Linked DNA regions of Rattus norvegicus. The protein of the gene in region 1 interacts with the protein of each later gene in a biochemical or structural test. Links are inferred from orthologs where the notes say so. Each region holds a gene or a part of one and is shown in the gene's direction. Other genes may lie near its edges. The genes, in order: Cltc, Arrb2, Ocrl and Hip1.

The links.
Region 2: the proteins of Cltc (region 1) and Arrb2 form a complex in vitro, tested with the Homo sapiens proteins (3 studies listed by BioGRID and IntAct, with this or other methods). The link is inferred for Rattus norvegicus from reciprocal best matches to the Homo sapiens genes CLTC and ARRB2.
Region 3: the proteins of Cltc (region 1) and Ocrl form a complex in vitro, tested with the Homo sapiens proteins (2 studies listed by BioGRID and IntAct, with this or other methods). The link is inferred for Rattus norvegicus from reciprocal best matches to the Homo sapiens genes CLTC and OCRL.
Region 4: the proteins of Cltc (region 1) and Hip1 form a complex in vitro, tested with the Homo sapiens proteins (3 studies listed by BioGRID). The link is inferred for Rattus norvegicus from reciprocal best matches to the Homo sapiens genes CLTC and HIP1.

The regions. Positions count from the first base shown.
Region 1 is NC_086028.1:72,067,835-72,072,194, reverse strand, and holds the start of Cltc (clathrin heavy chain 1), read left to right. Parts: upstream 1-1,503; 5' UTR 1,504-1,601; coding exon 1,602-1,643; intron 1,644-4,360. UniProt on the Homo sapiens protein: Clathrin is the major protein of the polyhedral coat of coated pits and vesicles. Two different adapter protein complexes link the clathrin lattice either to the plasma membrane or to the trans-Golgi network.
Region 2 is NC_086028.1:55,644,246-55,648,429, forward strand, and holds the start of Arrb2 (beta-arrestin-2), read left to right. Parts: upstream 1-1,356; 5' UTR 1,357-1,434; coding exon 1,435-1,457; intron 1,458-4,161; exon of another isoform or gene 4,162-4,184. UniProt on the Homo sapiens protein: Functions in regulating agonist-mediated G-protein coupled receptor (GPCR) signaling by mediating both receptor desensitization and resensitization processes.
Region 3 is NC_086039.1:131,987,961-131,991,520, forward strand, and holds part of Ocrl (inositol polyphosphate 5-phosphatase OCRL), read left to right. Parts: intron 1-295; coding exon 296-397; intron 398-1,741; coding exon 1,742-1,856; intron 1,857-3,532; coding exon 3,533-3,560. UniProt on the Homo sapiens protein: Catalyzes the hydrolysis of the 5-position phosphate of phosphatidylinositol 4,5-bisphosphate (PtdIns(4,5)P2) and phosphatidylinositol-3,4,5-bisphosphate (PtdIns(3,4,5)P3), with the greatest catalytic activity towards PtdIns(4,5)P2.
Region 4 is NC_086030.1:26,768,487-26,772,762, forward strand, and holds the start of Hip1 (huntingtin-interacting protein 1), read left to right. Parts: upstream 1-1,460; 5' UTR 1,461-1,568; coding exon 1,569-1,688; intron 1,689-1,694; exon of another isoform or gene 1,695-4,276. UniProt on the Homo sapiens protein: Plays a role in clathrin-mediated endocytosis and trafficking. Involved in regulating AMPA receptor trafficking in the central nervous system in an NMDA-dependent manner. Regulates presynaptic nerve terminal activity.

The DNA.
Region 1 (4,360 bases):
GGGGGGCTGACTGCCTTCTCACTTGCCTGTTTCTCTCAGCCCAGGTATGAAAGGCAGTATTTGGAGAAACACTAAAAGCAACTAAAATGACTAAGCAGATTTCTGTAAGCAAAACCGCTTACACAAAATTATTGTATACCCAGTGGTGTCTTATGTTCTTTAGGTGAAAGGGGCATTGAAAATAACTTTCTCAAGAACTTTCAGGGGAATTAAGATGAAATATGAGGAATTGAATTCTCTAAATCATCCTTATTGGTGCTATTGTGAAACATTACACCTTACACTTTAGCAAGAGCTCTGGAGCGGCTATGAATCGCTAATGAATGCTGCAGATACCTTAGTGCTGTAGTCAGGCAAGGTGCTCCGGTTTTGAAGAGCTTACACTGCCCACTTTGCTACTACAGGCAATGATCCTACTAACGTGTATGACCAACAGTCAATCCCTCCGCTCCAAGAAAGCCCTCGAGGTTTCTTTCACCATCCATCCTTTGATCTAAACCTTTAAAGATTTTCAGGTTGCCGAACACTCCCAACTCTCAAAGGCCAAACTAATCTCTACATTAGGCTGGTGTAAGTCCACCAAAATGTCCGCGGAAGCTCTCTCCAGGGCCAGCAGGAGACACTTCTCACATGGCCTTCACTGTCCTTTGAGATGGTTTATCTGAGGCACTCGAGAGCCATCCGGCTCTCCTGGCGTCAGAAGGGCGTGCGTCAGGGCAGGGAGGCTTGCAGCTCAGCACGATCCCCCCTCCCTGAGGTGTCAGCAACCACCCACTGCGTGAAACCGGGCGGGGGAGGCGCGCCGCAGTCAGCCGCCCAAAGAGCGCTGCGGCGGGGCCGTTTTCCCTTAGTCACCGCGGCGCCGACGCCGCGGCCTTCTCCTCAGGCACTCGGTGTCCTCACGCCCCGGTCGCCACGCCGGCAGGGGGCTCAACGGCCACCTCAACCCCAGGAGCAGCGGCCAGTCCCTAACTCTCGCCCTCCACTCTGGCAGCCGTCAACCGACCCTTCCCTACCCGCATCACGTGCACCTGGAAGTGCGTGGGTGGGTCCTACAGCGCCTACGGAAATGACGTAGTTCGCCCCGAGTCGCATGATGTGGCAAAATGTTAAAAAAAAAAAAAAGGTGGGGGGGAGGGGAGGAGGGAGAAACCGGAGCCTGGGGAAAGTGATGAGTCTAGAAAAAGTAGTCCCTCGGTTCCTCTGTTTCCCCGCTGCCGCATCAGCGAAGAGCGATCCGCGCACTGCGTCCCTGAATTCCTACGCCTGTCCGCTGCACGGGGTTCGTGGAAGGCTACATAAGGCGGACAGGGTGAGGAGGCTGGGCGGAGTTCTGCCCCGGGATCCTTCCGCAGGGCTCAGCCGTTTCCGGAGTCTGCGCTGCTCCCGGTTCCGCCATTGCGGCTCTCCCGGCCCTTGGAGCCTCCGCCCCCGACCCAAGCTCTCTCGTCTGCCTGCCAGTTCCCTACGTCCCCGGAGAGTATTCCTCTGAGCCCAACCTCCCCCTCCCTTCCCCTTCTCCTCCTCTCCCTTGGAGAGCCCGGGCAGGCACTGCCCTGCAGCCCCAGTGACAGGAGGAGACCATACTCCCCGACAGCGCCATGGCCCAGATTCTGCCAATTCGCTTTCAGGAGCATCTCCAGGTGCGTGTTAGTCGGGGCTGCTGAGGGACTTTTCGAGGGTATTGGGAAGGAAGCTAGCGGCCCGGCCCGAAGGGGATCGAGAGAACGGGAGTGGGGGGGTGTCGGTATTTGGCATTGATGGAGGAAGGACACTGTCTTAAAAGCTTAAAGGGTTAAACGATATGAGACTAGGATGGAAATGACGAATCGGAGTGCAAAGGGCGGCGAGGCCAGGCCTTACGTCTGACGGCCTCTTATTTCTGCTTCCTGGATTGCAAGAACTGCGCATACCAGACCCCCCTTCCCATTTTACTCAGTTCATTCATTTGGGTAGGGGCTAGGTGGGGGAGCTTCTCGCGCGTTTCTCCCAGAGCAAGAATTCTCGTTAACTCCGGGCGATGCAGGGCTGTCACCTTCCCTTGGTCTATTCCGATTTCCACATCGAGTCTGCACCCAGGAATTGTGTGGCGGGTGGGTTGGGGAGGAGCTGCATCTTCGCTCTGCAGCTCACAGCTGAGAAAGGCACCTTGGGGTTAGGGTAGCAGTGGCTTGTGTCTTGCCTTCCCTGAATCTGTAAAGAACCGAAGGTCACACTCACTGAAGGAACAGAAAGAAGATAGAGGGGCGGCTAGGGGCGGTGTCAGTCTCAGGGTGCCTGGGGTCAAGGTCCCAAGGGGAACGCGCATATTTTTCCTTTCTTGGTTTCTTCAAGGGTTAGTGTAGTTCTAAGACTCACTTTGATTCTTGTAGGTAGGGAGAGTTATTTAGAGGTTATTTATGGTCTTTTGGAATCTAGCAGGTAGTTGTGGGATTAAGGCAGGAGTATGTCTCACAGGACTGTGTGGAATTCAACAGAGCCTGGAGTGCTGTAAATGCATACCTGCTCTGAGACAGTACCTGACAAGTTGATCTATAACTGGCTTCTTTTTAATAGGCTGGGGTGCCCCCCTCCCCCCACTGCACCTTATCCTGGAGTCAATACACCATTGTCTAACCTGGCACCATGCCAGCAGTTGGCCTAGGCAGGTGACCATTGGAGGGCTTCGCTGAATTAAGCTTCTTCTGAACTGCTGCTTTTCCTGGTTCTCTTGTCCTGACTCTTTAACATCATAATTTATTCATAATAATTTACTTCCCCCCAAATATCCCCATAAAGAAATCTGCTTTCAGCTTCATCTTTTGAAGGGCTAATTTCATGAGGGAAGGTGTAACGATCCAGTTCAAATATTGGTAACTTATTGAGTGCTTTATCATTGAAGGCAATCTGATTTACTGTTCTCCGTTGATACACGTAAAAGATGTTTGATAATAAACAGGGTTAACTAAAATTCAGCTACAAGTAAAATAATTAAATATTTCTTTATAGACTTTTACCGTGTTGCTTACATTAAAAAATTATTTTACTTTAGGACTTTAAATGTAAATGATAATAGACCTTTGCCCATAAAATGAGCTAAATACACTTTCTTCAGTCATCACTAGTTTTCAAATAATTCACCTGATTTTGGCAATAAGATCTCTATTTTGCAAAAGTCTGAAAAATGTCAAGTGACAATCCTGACAGAGAAGTTAATTTTGTCCTCAATTCAAGCTTGTTTGAGTTTCCTCTGTTAAGAAAATAAAGAGTTAGGAAGGCACTGTTCTGGATGCTAGCGGACAGTGTGCTGACCTCTTCAAGCTGAGCTAAGAGGGAGGCAGCCTGTGTACATTAACGAAAAAAAAAAAACTAGCTTTAATTAATTGCTTGCTTTAATTAATTTGGCCATGAATTGGATTGCTGTTTTCTCTCCTCCCATCTTTGGAATTAACCCTTGTCCACACTGAAGTTTATCAGAAATAGCCTTCTGCAAATATGTATATAAACCATATTCAAGAGAAGCAAAGACAGCTGCTGATCACATGATCATTGTTGATTTGAGTAATAGTGTTTCATTTCTGTTAAACACGAGACCAGAATTGTTGAATGGTCTACAGACTGGAATCCAAACTTGTCACTAATTAAAAACAAATTTAATGCAGGTGTGGCATGTGAGTAACAATTTCTGCAAATACTTGAAACTGTTTTCCTAAATTTGGAGATTTTGAATATTTATAAAATAGCTTTACAAGTGTTCTTGAAGATCTCTGTCTGTTCTTTGGAGGACCATGTTACACTTTAAGCTTTGGCTGGTAGGATTCCACTCCAGTAGATGGTGATCAGTTTCGTCAAAAGGGCAAATCACCATCTTTTCCAAGATAATGTATTCTCCTGATCTCAGATTTTTCCCCCCTCGGAGCTGGGGACCGAACCCAGGGCCTTGCGCTTGCTAGGCAAGTGCTCTACCACTGAGCTAAATCTCCAACCCCCTGATCTCAGATTTTTATCCCTCTCTTAACACTTCAGTGTAAGGAGTGTTTCAGTTGTCATCTTAAGTCTTTGATTTCCAAGCCTCTGCCATTCTGCTTAGAAAACAACTTTTAAAACGCTTAGGAGAAGAACTGGAAAATGAGGAACTAGAGAGTGTAGAGTTCACTTGTGAAAGTTAACAGCAAACTCTACATTTTTTTTAAGCTTTTTATGAGAGTGTTGCAAATAAAAAATTGCTATTTATTTTCATATCCCTTTGTACGTGTTTAGATAAAGATCTGTCATCAAGGCTTGGAACTACATCACATAATTTTAATATTTTATGTGATGAAGGAATTTTTGTTGAGTTACAGATTCTGAACAAATTCTAGGCTGCAGAACACAGTAAGTT
Region 2 (4,184 bases), about 16 Mb from region 1:
CCAAACCCAGTCAATGCTGCCCCAGCAATGAACCTCTAATATGGCCCCTCTGCTCCCCTCCACTCTCTGTTCATCATTTTCCCTCGGCTAGCTTATCTTCTAGCGAGCGGTCTCGCTATGCGACACGTTACCCAAAAAGAGAAGTCCTATCTCGACATTCCTCTGGTGAAAGCAAAACCCAATCAAATCAGCACTGGGCTGGAATTAGTGGTGAGCTAAGCATATGTGAGGCCCTAGCAGAAAATTAAATTAAATTAAATTAAATAAAGACTACAGTTCCTCGGGCTCTTTCTTTCACCTGCTATACACAGTCTTCCACCGTCTCTTCTATTCCTCCGCAGCTCTACCTCCTGCCATCTAACCCACAGACATTTTAGAACAGGGCGTGCTTTTCCTTACTCATCTTTAGGATGTCCTTTCCCCACTTCTGTCCATCCTTCAGAAGGGCTGTCCTCAAATTTCCTATGCTATGGAGTGACTGCACTCCCTCCTCCACGCTGGCCAAGCGCTTTTAGGCTTTTAGTTGCTTGATGGTCTGAGTCATATCTATTATAGCGTTCCTGGGAGCATAATACCTGTTTTATATGTCTCACGGATCCCAGGAAACTTAGGCCATGATGTTGTCCCGATGGCTCTGCACAGTGACTTACACAAAATAGGCAGGGAGGGAAGGATGAAGAATGGAAGAGATAAGTGGAGTAGGTGAATGATGGCTAGGATAGACGGTAAGGGAGATGACAAAGTCTGAATGTTTTAAAGTGACACTGCAAAAAAAAAAAAAAAAAATCAAAGACAATACACCAGGGGGAGCTGAAGACCACGAGAACGCGGGAAAGGTAGGCCAAACAAGGCTGCAAGCTCAGGGATGAGCAGCGCATACCAAAGCAAGCATCATCACGCAACAGATACGGCTCACCCACGTGGGCAGCCCCTTGGTGCTCAGACCCAGACAGTGTTTGAGCTCATTCCCACCGCCCCCTCGATCCCGTCCCTCCTCCGCTACAGTGAAAGCAAACAAAGGGGAGGGATCCCTGCAGGGCTATGGATACCAACGGCCAATCAGCTGCTTCTAAACTTCTCGAAGGCGGCCGCCTCCATTTTAAGGGGCCCAATCTAGTTCCAAAGGCTTGAGGAGGGGCGGGGAGATCGAGAGTAGGGACGGCGCGAGGAGGCTTCCCCGAGGGAGACTGAGGGCGGAGGCGTGGGGCGGAGCCAGCTCGAAGAGGGCGGGCTGCGCCGCGGCGCGCGGGCTCCGGCTGACGCAGCTGGCCCCAGCTCCCCTAGACCCAGACCGCGAGGGGAGGGGAAGGAGGAGAAAGAGTGAGGACGCGCGTGCGCAGTGACTCGGGGAGGAGTGGGGACCTGGCAGCGGGTGAGAAGGCTGCGAGCGAGCCGCGAACCCGGCGGGTGGAGGGCGGCGAGCGCGCGCGCACCATGGGTGAAAAACCCGGGACCAGGTAAGGGAGGTGGGGCCGTGCCGCGGGGCATGGGCGGCTGCTCGCGGAGTGTGCCAGGTTGATCCACAGACAAGGACACCGGGGAAGAAACCCCGGGGCCGGACGCCTGGGTCCCTAGAGGGTAGCTGTCCGGGGCCGCAAGCCTAGGTCCTTGAGGATATTGGAGTGGGGGTGCGTGCTGGGGCTCCTGCAAAAAGCAAGACTTGATAGAGATCGGGAAACCCACGCCTGGGTTCTCACAGAGATGTAGGAGTCGGACTACTGGGTTCTCTGCAGGCTGTGATGCAGGGGCGGAGGAAGGAGGAGCAGGTGGCCGGCCCCGAGGGGTTGTGTGCTGGGAGACTGGATGCTGGGAAGGGATTCCCCTAGACTCGTGCCCAACCAATGGAAAGCCTCCTGCCCAATACCCCACAGTCTGATTGCTCCCACCTGTCCCAAGGGTCGGATAGCTCTGCTACCAAACTTCTGCCTTCTCCTAGGTTGCTAGGAGCAACAGCTTCTTGAGAGAGTAGAGTGCATAGGGACCCTCGCTGAAATTGGGCTTTATTCCTGTCCTGGGGAGAGAGAGAGGTAGTATCTGCCCTGGACACACATCCTCTCCCCGGATGTTTTCTGTGCAATCGAGGCTCCTTCCTTCCACTGATACCAGAGTTCTCTTTTTTGGTCTATAGCAAAATCCACTTCCTGTTGTGACCCAACACCCCCAGGAGGACATGGGGTGAATACTTGAGTTCCAAAGGAGCAAGAACTAAATAATAGGTTGGGGCCATGTGCCTCAAGCCAGAGAGGACCAAGGATAAGGGCCTGATTATGAACAGTGACTTCTGCAAAACATGAGACCAACCCCACCACTCCCACTGCCCTTAAGTATTAAGAAGACCAATATCTGAGAGAGATGCTTACAGGGAAGATTGACCTCCTAGATTTGAGGTTAAACTAAACCCCAGAGAAAGGAGAAGTCACTTACTTGGGGGGGAGGCCCCCAAATTTCCGTTGAGTACTTCAGGGAGGGAATAGATGGACCAAAGAAAGACTGCTGACTTGGCATAATTCCCTACCATCTCATCAAATTCTGGGCCAGAGGAAATGGCGAGAATGGCAGGAAGTACAAAGAGGCATCTGCTTTAGCTGCACCCCTCCAAGCTGGGTACCTCCCTGGTAATTCCCTTGCTCTGCCTTCTTGGCCAAGCACACTGTGCACGCTGCGCCCTCCCTAACCATGGCTGGGTAAGAGCAGGGCAACTGACGGAGATACAATGATTGTGTGGTCGTCACAGGTTCTGCCAGGGCTCCCAGTGGGGGAAAATACAAGACAGGAGGAAACCAGAAGTAGGAGAAAGAGCCAACCTAGGTGATGTCCAAGCTGTCAGCCCTAATTGGGACAGAAATTAGAGTGATTATTCTAACCGCCACCATGTCCAAATGTGCCTTTATTACTTGGGGATACTTAGGGCAGCCTATGTATATGCCATGTGACCCTAAGTGTGTGTGGCCCAGTGATGTATGGGCAGCTTGGCTTTGGGGAAGGAGGAGACAAGTGGTTTTTCCAAGCAGAAACTCACATAGTGTGTTGAAGGGAGGATGGAACTCTGGGCAGTTTTCAGCCTGTTATCTGGGGGCCCTTTCAGGAATTGCTCCGGAGCCAAAAGGCCTTAGAAGGGGTAGAGTTGTTCTTGGAAGAACAAGCCAAGGAATGGCCAGAGCTCTGGGGTCACTAGACAGTTTCCTATCCTCCTAGCCGTGGGTGGAGTCTAGACTTAGGTTGTTCTAGTGTCTGTACAGAAAAATCCCCTTAGACTTGACAAACTGTGACAGGCGAGCTTCACGACTTAGTGGTTGAGAACAGGGTCTTGAAACCAGGGTGCCTTCCTCAGGTTTATATCCGAGTCCCACCCTGTACCTTCTCTGTGACCTTTGACAAAATTCTTGTTTGCCGTAAAGCCGGGGTCTTTTAGCCTCTGTCACTGGGCGATAAGAGCTGTAAACGCAGTTGGTACAGTGCTAGAACACAGCAGTCACCAGTCAATGTTAGCCAGAATCACCATGTTTGTCACAGGATGCTACTGTGTGGGGACCACAGTGGGTTTTTTTGTTTTTGTTTTTTTTTAAGCTGCTGAGGTCAGAAACGGGGCTGTTGGAGGTTCATGAAATAGTCAGACTTGGGGACAGAAACATCTGAGGGGCAAAGACTCTGCTCCAGGAGTCACTGTGTGAGTCCTTGAAGCTAGAGGTCAGTTAAAGAGTTCATCTGAGTGTGGTAGTTCGTGCCCCTTCATCCTAGCACCAAAGAGACAGAGGTAAATGGATCTGAGTTGGGGCCAGCCTGGTCTACAAGTCAAGTTCCAGGCTAGCCAGAGTTACATACTAAGGCCAAGGTCAAAAGGGAGGGAGGAGTGTTAGGTGTGACCCAGACATTGTGTAGCCATCAGTTGACTCTTGGTTTCGGAGAGGGTCCCTCAGGAGAGCCTGAATAGTTGGCTGGGGCAAACAGTGGCCATTTACTATAAGCGGAGGAGTGAGTTAGTAACATCAACAGCAAAGAGGAAAGGCCTGACAGTTGGCTTCAAGAGGCTTCAAATACCGGTGGGAAGCAGTAAAAAAAAGCAGTGGGAAGGGTCGAGCAGGGATCCAGGGTGAATTCCATTTCTCTGGGGGGAGGGATAAATCCCGGCGTGGTGGTCCCTGCCCAGCCTAAGGGAGGCAGTGGGGTCTTCCTTTCTGTTTTGT
Region 3 (3,560 bases), on another chromosome or scaffold:
ACCCTCCTCCCCTTTCCCTCAATGAGGGTGCTCCTCCACCCACTCACCGCTCTAGCATCCCCACTGGGGCATCAAGCGTCCCTCCCCTCCCATTGATGTCAGAAAAGTCCATCCTCTGCTACATATGTATCTGGAGTCCTGGCTTCCAAGAGTTCTTTTGTTAGGTATCTGGCAAAACACTTTTAAAAGTTATGTTAATCAAAATACCCATTCATAAAAGTGATAAAAGCAACATTGTGTTTGTTTCAACTTGATCTTTGTTTTTGAATTATCTTTTTTGCTGTAATGTTATTAGATTTTTTGTTGGAACTTGGAATGTGAATGGCCAGTCTCCAGACAGCAGCTTAGAACCTTGGCTGAACTGTGATCCAAATCCTCCTGATATTTACTGCATTGGGTAAGGAGCGCTTCTGGACCTTCCTTTTCCTATATTTGGTGTTACCGTAACCTGACTGTGGCCCCCCTCTCATCTGTGTGTGTGTTTGTGTGTGTACACATGTGGGTGTGTGCATGTGACCCCACAGGTTATCAGGTGTCTTGCTCAATCACTCTCCATCTTATTTCCTTTCCATTTCTTTAATTCTTTAAACATTTAACTTATACATATATGATTAATTTTAGTTGTTTGCACCCCTGTTACCTTCTTCTCAAAAAACTCCCTCCTACACTCATGTCTTCTTTATATGTACAACCCACTGTGTTTAGTTGGAGTTTCTTTTGTGAACATGGATGGGATGTTATTTACTAGAGCAACTCATCGGTGGCTTTCCCACCAAAGAAAGTGATACCCCTTCCACCAGCAACGGTTAACTGCCCACTGTCCCTTAAAAAGGGGTAGGGCCTCATGGGCCCCTCCCCCATTCATGATGAAATGATGACGGGCCCAATCTGTGCAGGACTTAGACAACCACAGCTGTACTGAGTTGAGGGGAACCATGGTGATGTCATCCACGTGATGTCCTTTTGCTGTACATGTCCCCATCTTCTGACTCTTACATTCTTGCCACACCCTCTTTCCAGTGTCCCTGAGCCTTGGATTGTGTGATGTAAATGTCCCATAGTGGCAGAGCCCTCTGCCATCATGAATTCTTAGCACTTTGGCGAGTTATGAGTCCCTCCTGTAGCTGCCACCTACTTCTATGATAAAAGCTTTATCTACCTTATTTTTTTAGATGGGGTCTCTCATTGAACCAGGAGTTTGCCTAGAGATAGCTCCTCCCCTGGCTTCCTCCCCAGTGTGGGCATTACAGACACATGCCTGCACAGACAGCTTCTCTGCATGGATGCTGAGGTTTGAACTCACATCCTCACACTTGTACAGCAAGCACTTTACTGACTGGAACATTTCCCCAGCCTTGAGCTTCATATTTTTTCTAAAGCTTGATTGATAAAAGAAATCTTGCTGTGCACTATATGTGAGGGTTAATTTGTGGGTCAAAAGAAAACATGAATGAAACCGTTAACAGGGAACCACTCATCGTAGAAACGGATGAGATCAATTCTCAAAGTGATTATTCAAAGGTTGTAAAAGACAAGTTTCACTATGAGAGTTTTGATATTGTTCAGTTTTTGTATAACCTATGAATGTACTGGTGGGGATTCTCTAGAAAATCTATGTGCCTTTTGTAAAATTTATCTCATACTCTTTTTTTTCTTTACTCTAATGTCTCAGCAAATGGGAAAGGATGTAGCTAAGGAAAGTTGTGGCTGTGTATAGTGCCTGCATCTCTTTTCCCCTCAGATTCCAAGAGCTGGACTTGAGCACAGAAGCCTTTTTCTACTTTGAGTCTGTAAAAGAGCAAGAATGGGCCATGGCTGTGGAAAGGGGTCTGCCTTCGAAGGCCAAGTATAAAAAGGTAAGCTGCGCTGGGTTCTCGCTTTTAGCAGATGATTAAGTAGAACTCACTGGGAGTCATCCATTAACTGAACCTCTTCCAAAAGGCTTAAATAATTGACTTCTTCCCCGTATGAAATACTGCGTGCGCCATATGAGACTAATCTACTGGAGTTACTTCTGAGAAAAAATTCGTAAGCTTTCTGATCATACATTTTCATCATTTAGTTTTTTAGAATAAATCAATATATTGCTTTTACATTAATAATCCAAATAGTTACATATAAGCTAACTGATCTGTCTGTGTAAAAATATATAAGATTGTCCTCCAACATGGCCAGAATGAAATGCCTACAAAAAGAGCAGTATGGGGGTTGGGGATTTAGCTCAGTGGCAGAGCGCTTGCCTAGCAAGCGCAAGGCCCTGGGTTCGATCCCCAGCTCCAAAAAAAGAAAAGAAAAAAAAAAAGAAGAGCAGTATGAAGTATATGGGGCGCAGAGAGGATGCTTTCAATTCAGAACAAGAATAGCAGTATTGTGGGATTTAAGCACATTCTGAACTTCTTTGTCAGTCAAGAATTGACTTGAGCAAAGTGGTCCAATTTGTTAGTCTTTAGAAGATATCTGCTAGGAGCATTTAGCTACTAGGAGTTATGTTCATCTTAAGACTACTGTCCCACCCCATATGAACAACAATGCCAAGCAACCAGAGCTTCCAGGGACTAAGCCACTACCCAAAGACTACAGGGACTGACCCTGGACTCTGACCTCATAGGTAGCAATGAATATCCTAGTAAGAGCACCAGTGGAAGGGGAAGCCCTGGGTCCTGCTAAGACTGAACCCCCAGTGAACTAGATTGTTGGGGGGAGGGCGGCAATGGGGGGAGGGTGGGGAGGGGAACACCCATAAGGAAGGGGAGGGGTTAGGGGGATGTTGACCTGGAAACCAGGAAAGGGAATAACAATTGAAATGTAAATAAGAAATACTCAATAAAGATGGAGGGGGAAAAAAAGAAAGAAAACAAATAACTCTAACCAATAAAAAGAAAGGAAAAAGAAAAAACACAGCATGCCATTTTCTATGCTGCTTGTTGAACCATTAAAATTCAGTCTTGATCATGTAAATTAAGTGTGGATCTGTGAAGAACTGTATAATTTGGATAGAGCTGGATTAAATGTATTTCTGATTTGGAAAAGAAAAAGACTACTGTCCCAAACTCAAACAAAGTCATCTATGGTTTTGAACAGTTTACGTAGTGACCATTTGAACTTTTAATATGCTCTCAACGGGCTACAGAGTGATGGGTATGGCTCAGTGGGAGATAGCTGCATGACATGCTCAGCGTTCTCCATTTGACCCTCAGCACTGATAAATAGAAGCAGAGAGACAGAGGCATACACAGAGAGAGGCAGACAGACACAGAAAGACAGACACATACACTCACAGAGAGACAGAGAAAGAGAGAGAGAAACAGACTTATGCACTGTCCCTCAAGGCTTTTAACTCTTATTAATCAAAGCCAGACTAGAGCTTCCACAGAGAATCTTAGTTTCCAATTTATGGGGTCTGATTGGAAATTAGAGGATGCAGATCTAGATTTGAACATTAGTAATCATCTCATTGGACATCCTAGGAAGTTAGCTATGTAGCAGAGAGTGATGCTTATTTTAGCCCTTAGTAACTCTCTGGAATTCATAGGTTCAACTGGTCCGCCTTGTGGGGATGA
Region 4 (4,276 bases), on another chromosome or scaffold:
AAACACACACACACACACACACACACACACACACACACACACACACACACACACACAGAGTACTGGCTGTCCCGGAACTCAGTCTATAGACCAGGCTGGCCTTGAACTCAGGGATCCATCTGCCTCTGCCTCCTGAGTGTTGTGACTAAAGCTGTGGGCCGCCACCACCTGTCTTGGAACACTGTCTTTAAAGCGTCCCACTGGTGTGATCGCTCAGGTAAGTTGCTACTAAGCCTACGACCCACGTCAGCTCTCTGGGATCCACATGGTAGGGAACAGAATCTTGTTTGCTTTCTGACCTCCACAGGTGCACTGCCGCGTGAGCACAGTCCCACACATACACACAGGTACATAATTCACACACATTAACAAAAGCCAAGCATCGTGGTCCACGGAGATTCGAGGGACTCGGCTATATAATGAGTTTGATGCTGTCATTCATTAATCAAAACATTGCCTAGTACAAGTGAGACGTGTACTGGGTTCTTGAACAGATAGATGAATAGCATCATCAATTTTTTTAAATTCTTAACGGTGCCACTGGTTCTGTTAGTAGAGAACGTGTAACATTTTCTTTGCTGAGGAGCACACGTCCCAGTCTGTAGATGCTCCCAGAACAGGATGGGAGGAGTGGACCCTGCTATAGATAAACAAGGAGCATCTGTTGGGGTTTCTACCAAGGTAAGGGAAAGCTCTGGGGAGATACCCGCAGTCAAAGTCCAGTACTTGGGGACCCGGGTCGGCGATCCTCCAGAACTGGCAGATAGGAATGCACGGGGAGGAGACTTCGAGAGCCACTAAGGCCGCCATCGCCGGACCACACTGATGCGGAGTTCCCCGGCAAGCCTGGTGAAAGCGGTGCAGCCATGCTTCCCTTGATCTGCCTTTCCGTCCCCCTCGGGAACTCGTGGCGCCGGCTGGACGGCAGCTCTTCGAGCTCAGCAACCCGCAGCAGAGAAGGGCCCAGGAGGTGGCGCTTCGAGATAGGGTGGAGTCTCAAGGGCTGGTCTGTAGCAGCCAGGCCCTGCCCCATTAAGATGACGGACAAGCCTTCAGAGCAATCATGGTGCTCTTTTGGTCCTGTAGGGTGGGAACAAAGGAGGAGTGACGGATGTAGGGTGGAGCAGCAAAAAAATGGTGAGGGCAGCTCACGAAGCCAGCCCTGCTGTGTTGACAGATAACTCTTCAGACCAATGACAGTGCATTTCTAGGCCTGGAAGGCGGTGTATCGATCATGGGGCGGAGCCTCGGGGAGGGAGCAAGAGCCCACCAGGTCCTGCCCACAGAAGTTAACGGACAAACCTTCAGACCAGTCATAGCATGCCGACCGCTCTGAGGCGGGCCAGCCGGTGAAGTGAGCGGAGCGCCTCCGAAGTGGGAAAAGGGATGTGGGGAAAAGCCTCTTGGAGAGATGGGGTGGGTCCTGAGGGAGATGGACAGCGCTGTCAACCAATGGAAGACGTAATCTGTCCCCGTTAGCGCCGGATCCCCGCGGGTAGGGAGGGGCGGGAGGCGCCGCGGGGATCCCGGGGCGGCCGAGGGCCCCTGACTCTGTTCACCCAGACAACATGGACCGGATGGCCAGCTCCATGAAGCAGGTACCCAACCCGCTGCCCAAAGTGTTGAGCCGGCGCGGGGTTGGTGCTGGGATGGAGGCTGCGGAGCGCGAGAGCTTCGAGCGGACTCAGGTGAGATTCGAGAACCCTGGGGCATCCCTGGGGGCACCTGGAGTGATGCAGGGTGCTAGAGAGGCTTGGAACGGAGTGAGTCTTGCAGTCCCGGGAGGGAATTAGGCAAGGTGGCTGCGATCAGAATCATTTTGGGGTGCGGAACTAGGCGGGTCCCAGGGAGGTCCGGGACCTGGGCATCCCTACTGGCACGGGGGTCGGGGTGTACTCCGGGGAACTGCAGATTCCTGCAACTGAGAGAATAGCCTCGGCGAGCACCATCAGAGGTCACAAGGGAGGCCAAAGGGAGTCGAAAAGGGACTGATGGAAGGGGTGCTCCTGGGTAGGGGAAGCACTTGGAAGTCACTCGGTTTTTGCAAGTGTGGGGACACCAACGTAGAGGTGTAAAGGGTGGCTCTGATCGCTTTACTTTAGTATTGACTTCTTCCTTCATTCCCCAGCATCTCGTTCAACGGTGCCTCTAACTTGGCTCTCAGCAGCCCCAGCTGTTGGCCTCAGAGGCTGCGCCAAAGGGGTCTGAGTGATGGGAGGGACCGTAGGAAATGTGAAGTGTGGTCCAACTTGGAAAATGACCCCCGGGGGTTTGGAGAAATGGGGACGCGTGTAGGAATTGCGACGCTTGGACTGTCAGACCCTCGCGTGTCGGGTTAAGCTCTCCAGTGATACATAGAATCCTGATTTGCGGTTTTCCTTTCACCCTCCAAAATATGCCTGACAGCTACTAAGCAGACCGCCTGCCTTGTCTGGTCTGACCAGGGCAGATGGCCAAAATTCCACCGCGGTTATCAACAAAAAGCCACTATCCACTTTTATCTCAAGCTTTTATGCATGCTGTATCGATCGGACCGAGTCAAGTAGTGAGGCGCTGGGTGTGTAGTTACCAATTCATCTGTATGTAAAATCTGAGAGTACAACCCTTCGGATCCCACTGCGGAAGCTGGGCCCGTAGATTTCTTGTTCTCCTCTGGCTCTCCAAGTTCTACTTTGAAGATCGAGTTGACTTCAGCCAGAGGCAGCTCCCCTGTGGTGTTCTGTGAGTAGAAAAGGTGGAAGAGATAGGAGAGCCCGTGAGTTCTATAAATGGACGGTGCACGGAAGACAGCCTTTTCACCCCAGGGGACTTTAATCCACCTCTTGTTTCTGAGACCCCTGGATCCACTTCTTGTGTCTGGGGGAAAAAAGGGGTAGTTGTACCCGGGGAGGAGGAGAACCGGCATTCACTTACCTCTCAATGTCTAAGGGTTTTTGGAACTTTTTTAATTTCTCAGATCTTCTGAACTTTGGGCATTGCTGCCAAAAGGAAAAAGAAAGTTTTCATCTTCTCCCCGCTACAAACCTCTTTTATTTTTAAACTGAAAGAGGAAAATAAGCCGGAGCTATTTTGTGACATCCAACCGTCTGAGAATCTCTGATAGCTTAAAACTGGAGCAGTAAGTTAGACATAAAAGTTTGAGCTTGGGGTTGGGGATTTAGCTCAGTGGTAGAGCGCTTGCCTAGCAAGCGCAAGGCCCTGGGTTCAGTCGTCAGCTCCAAAAAAACAAAGACAAAACAAAACAAAAGTTTGAGCTTAGGCCCAGTGGAGCTGGCTAAGGGGCCACCTGCGTTTCATGCCAGGGAAGGAGCCATGTTGCCCTCTGACTTCAGTTTTGAGCTGCGCCATGAACACCCCTCCATACACACACACCCAAAATTACATTAAGAGTGTTTTTGAAAGTTTGAAATTAATAGACAGTGATAGAAATTAGGCATTTGAGGGGTTGGGGATTTGGCTCAGTGGTAGAGCGCTTGCCTAGGAAGCACAAGGTCCTGGGTTCAATCCCCAGCCCCGAAAAAAAAAGAAAAGAAAAAAAAAAAAAGAAAGAAATTAGGCATTTGAAATGTTTCCAGCCACAACTAACATTTTTCCTAGTTACCCAGGGAATACTCAACAGGAAGACTGGTAGGTCAGTGTCTAATTTTACCTTCGTAGAACACTTGTTATTAGTCAGATTTGGTGTGTGTGTGTGTGTGTGTGTGTGTGTGTGTGTGTGCATGTGTGCACACGCATTGAGATATACTACAGCAGAGTTTTTCAGTTATGGAAACTCCTCCCTCCCCTTTTTTTCTTTTCTTTTTGATTTTTACAGATAGGGTTTCTCTGTATAACAGCTCTGGCTGACCCGGAACTCACTTTGTAGATCAGGCTAGCCTCAGACTCACAATGGTCTGCCTGCCTCTGCCTCCCAAGTGCTGAGGGTTTTTTTTTTTTTAATTTTTTGTTTGTTTTGTTATTGTTGCTTTTGTTTTATTTGAGTGAGGATCTTACTGTGTTGCTCAGGCTAGCCTGGAACTCAGCTATGTAGACCAGGCTGGCCCTCAAACTTTCATCTCCCTGCCTTGGCCTCCCTAGTGCTCAGATTACTGGCATGAGGCAGCACAATCCAACTGAGTTGTTGAAATTCTCTCAAGCTGGCAGGCATGGTGGGACACTTTGACAATCCCAGCACTCAGGAGGCAGAGGCAGGAGGATCCTTGCCAGTGTGGTCTCCATAGCAGATTCCAGGCTAACCATGCCTATACATAGGGAGACCCTATCTGCAAAAGAATGT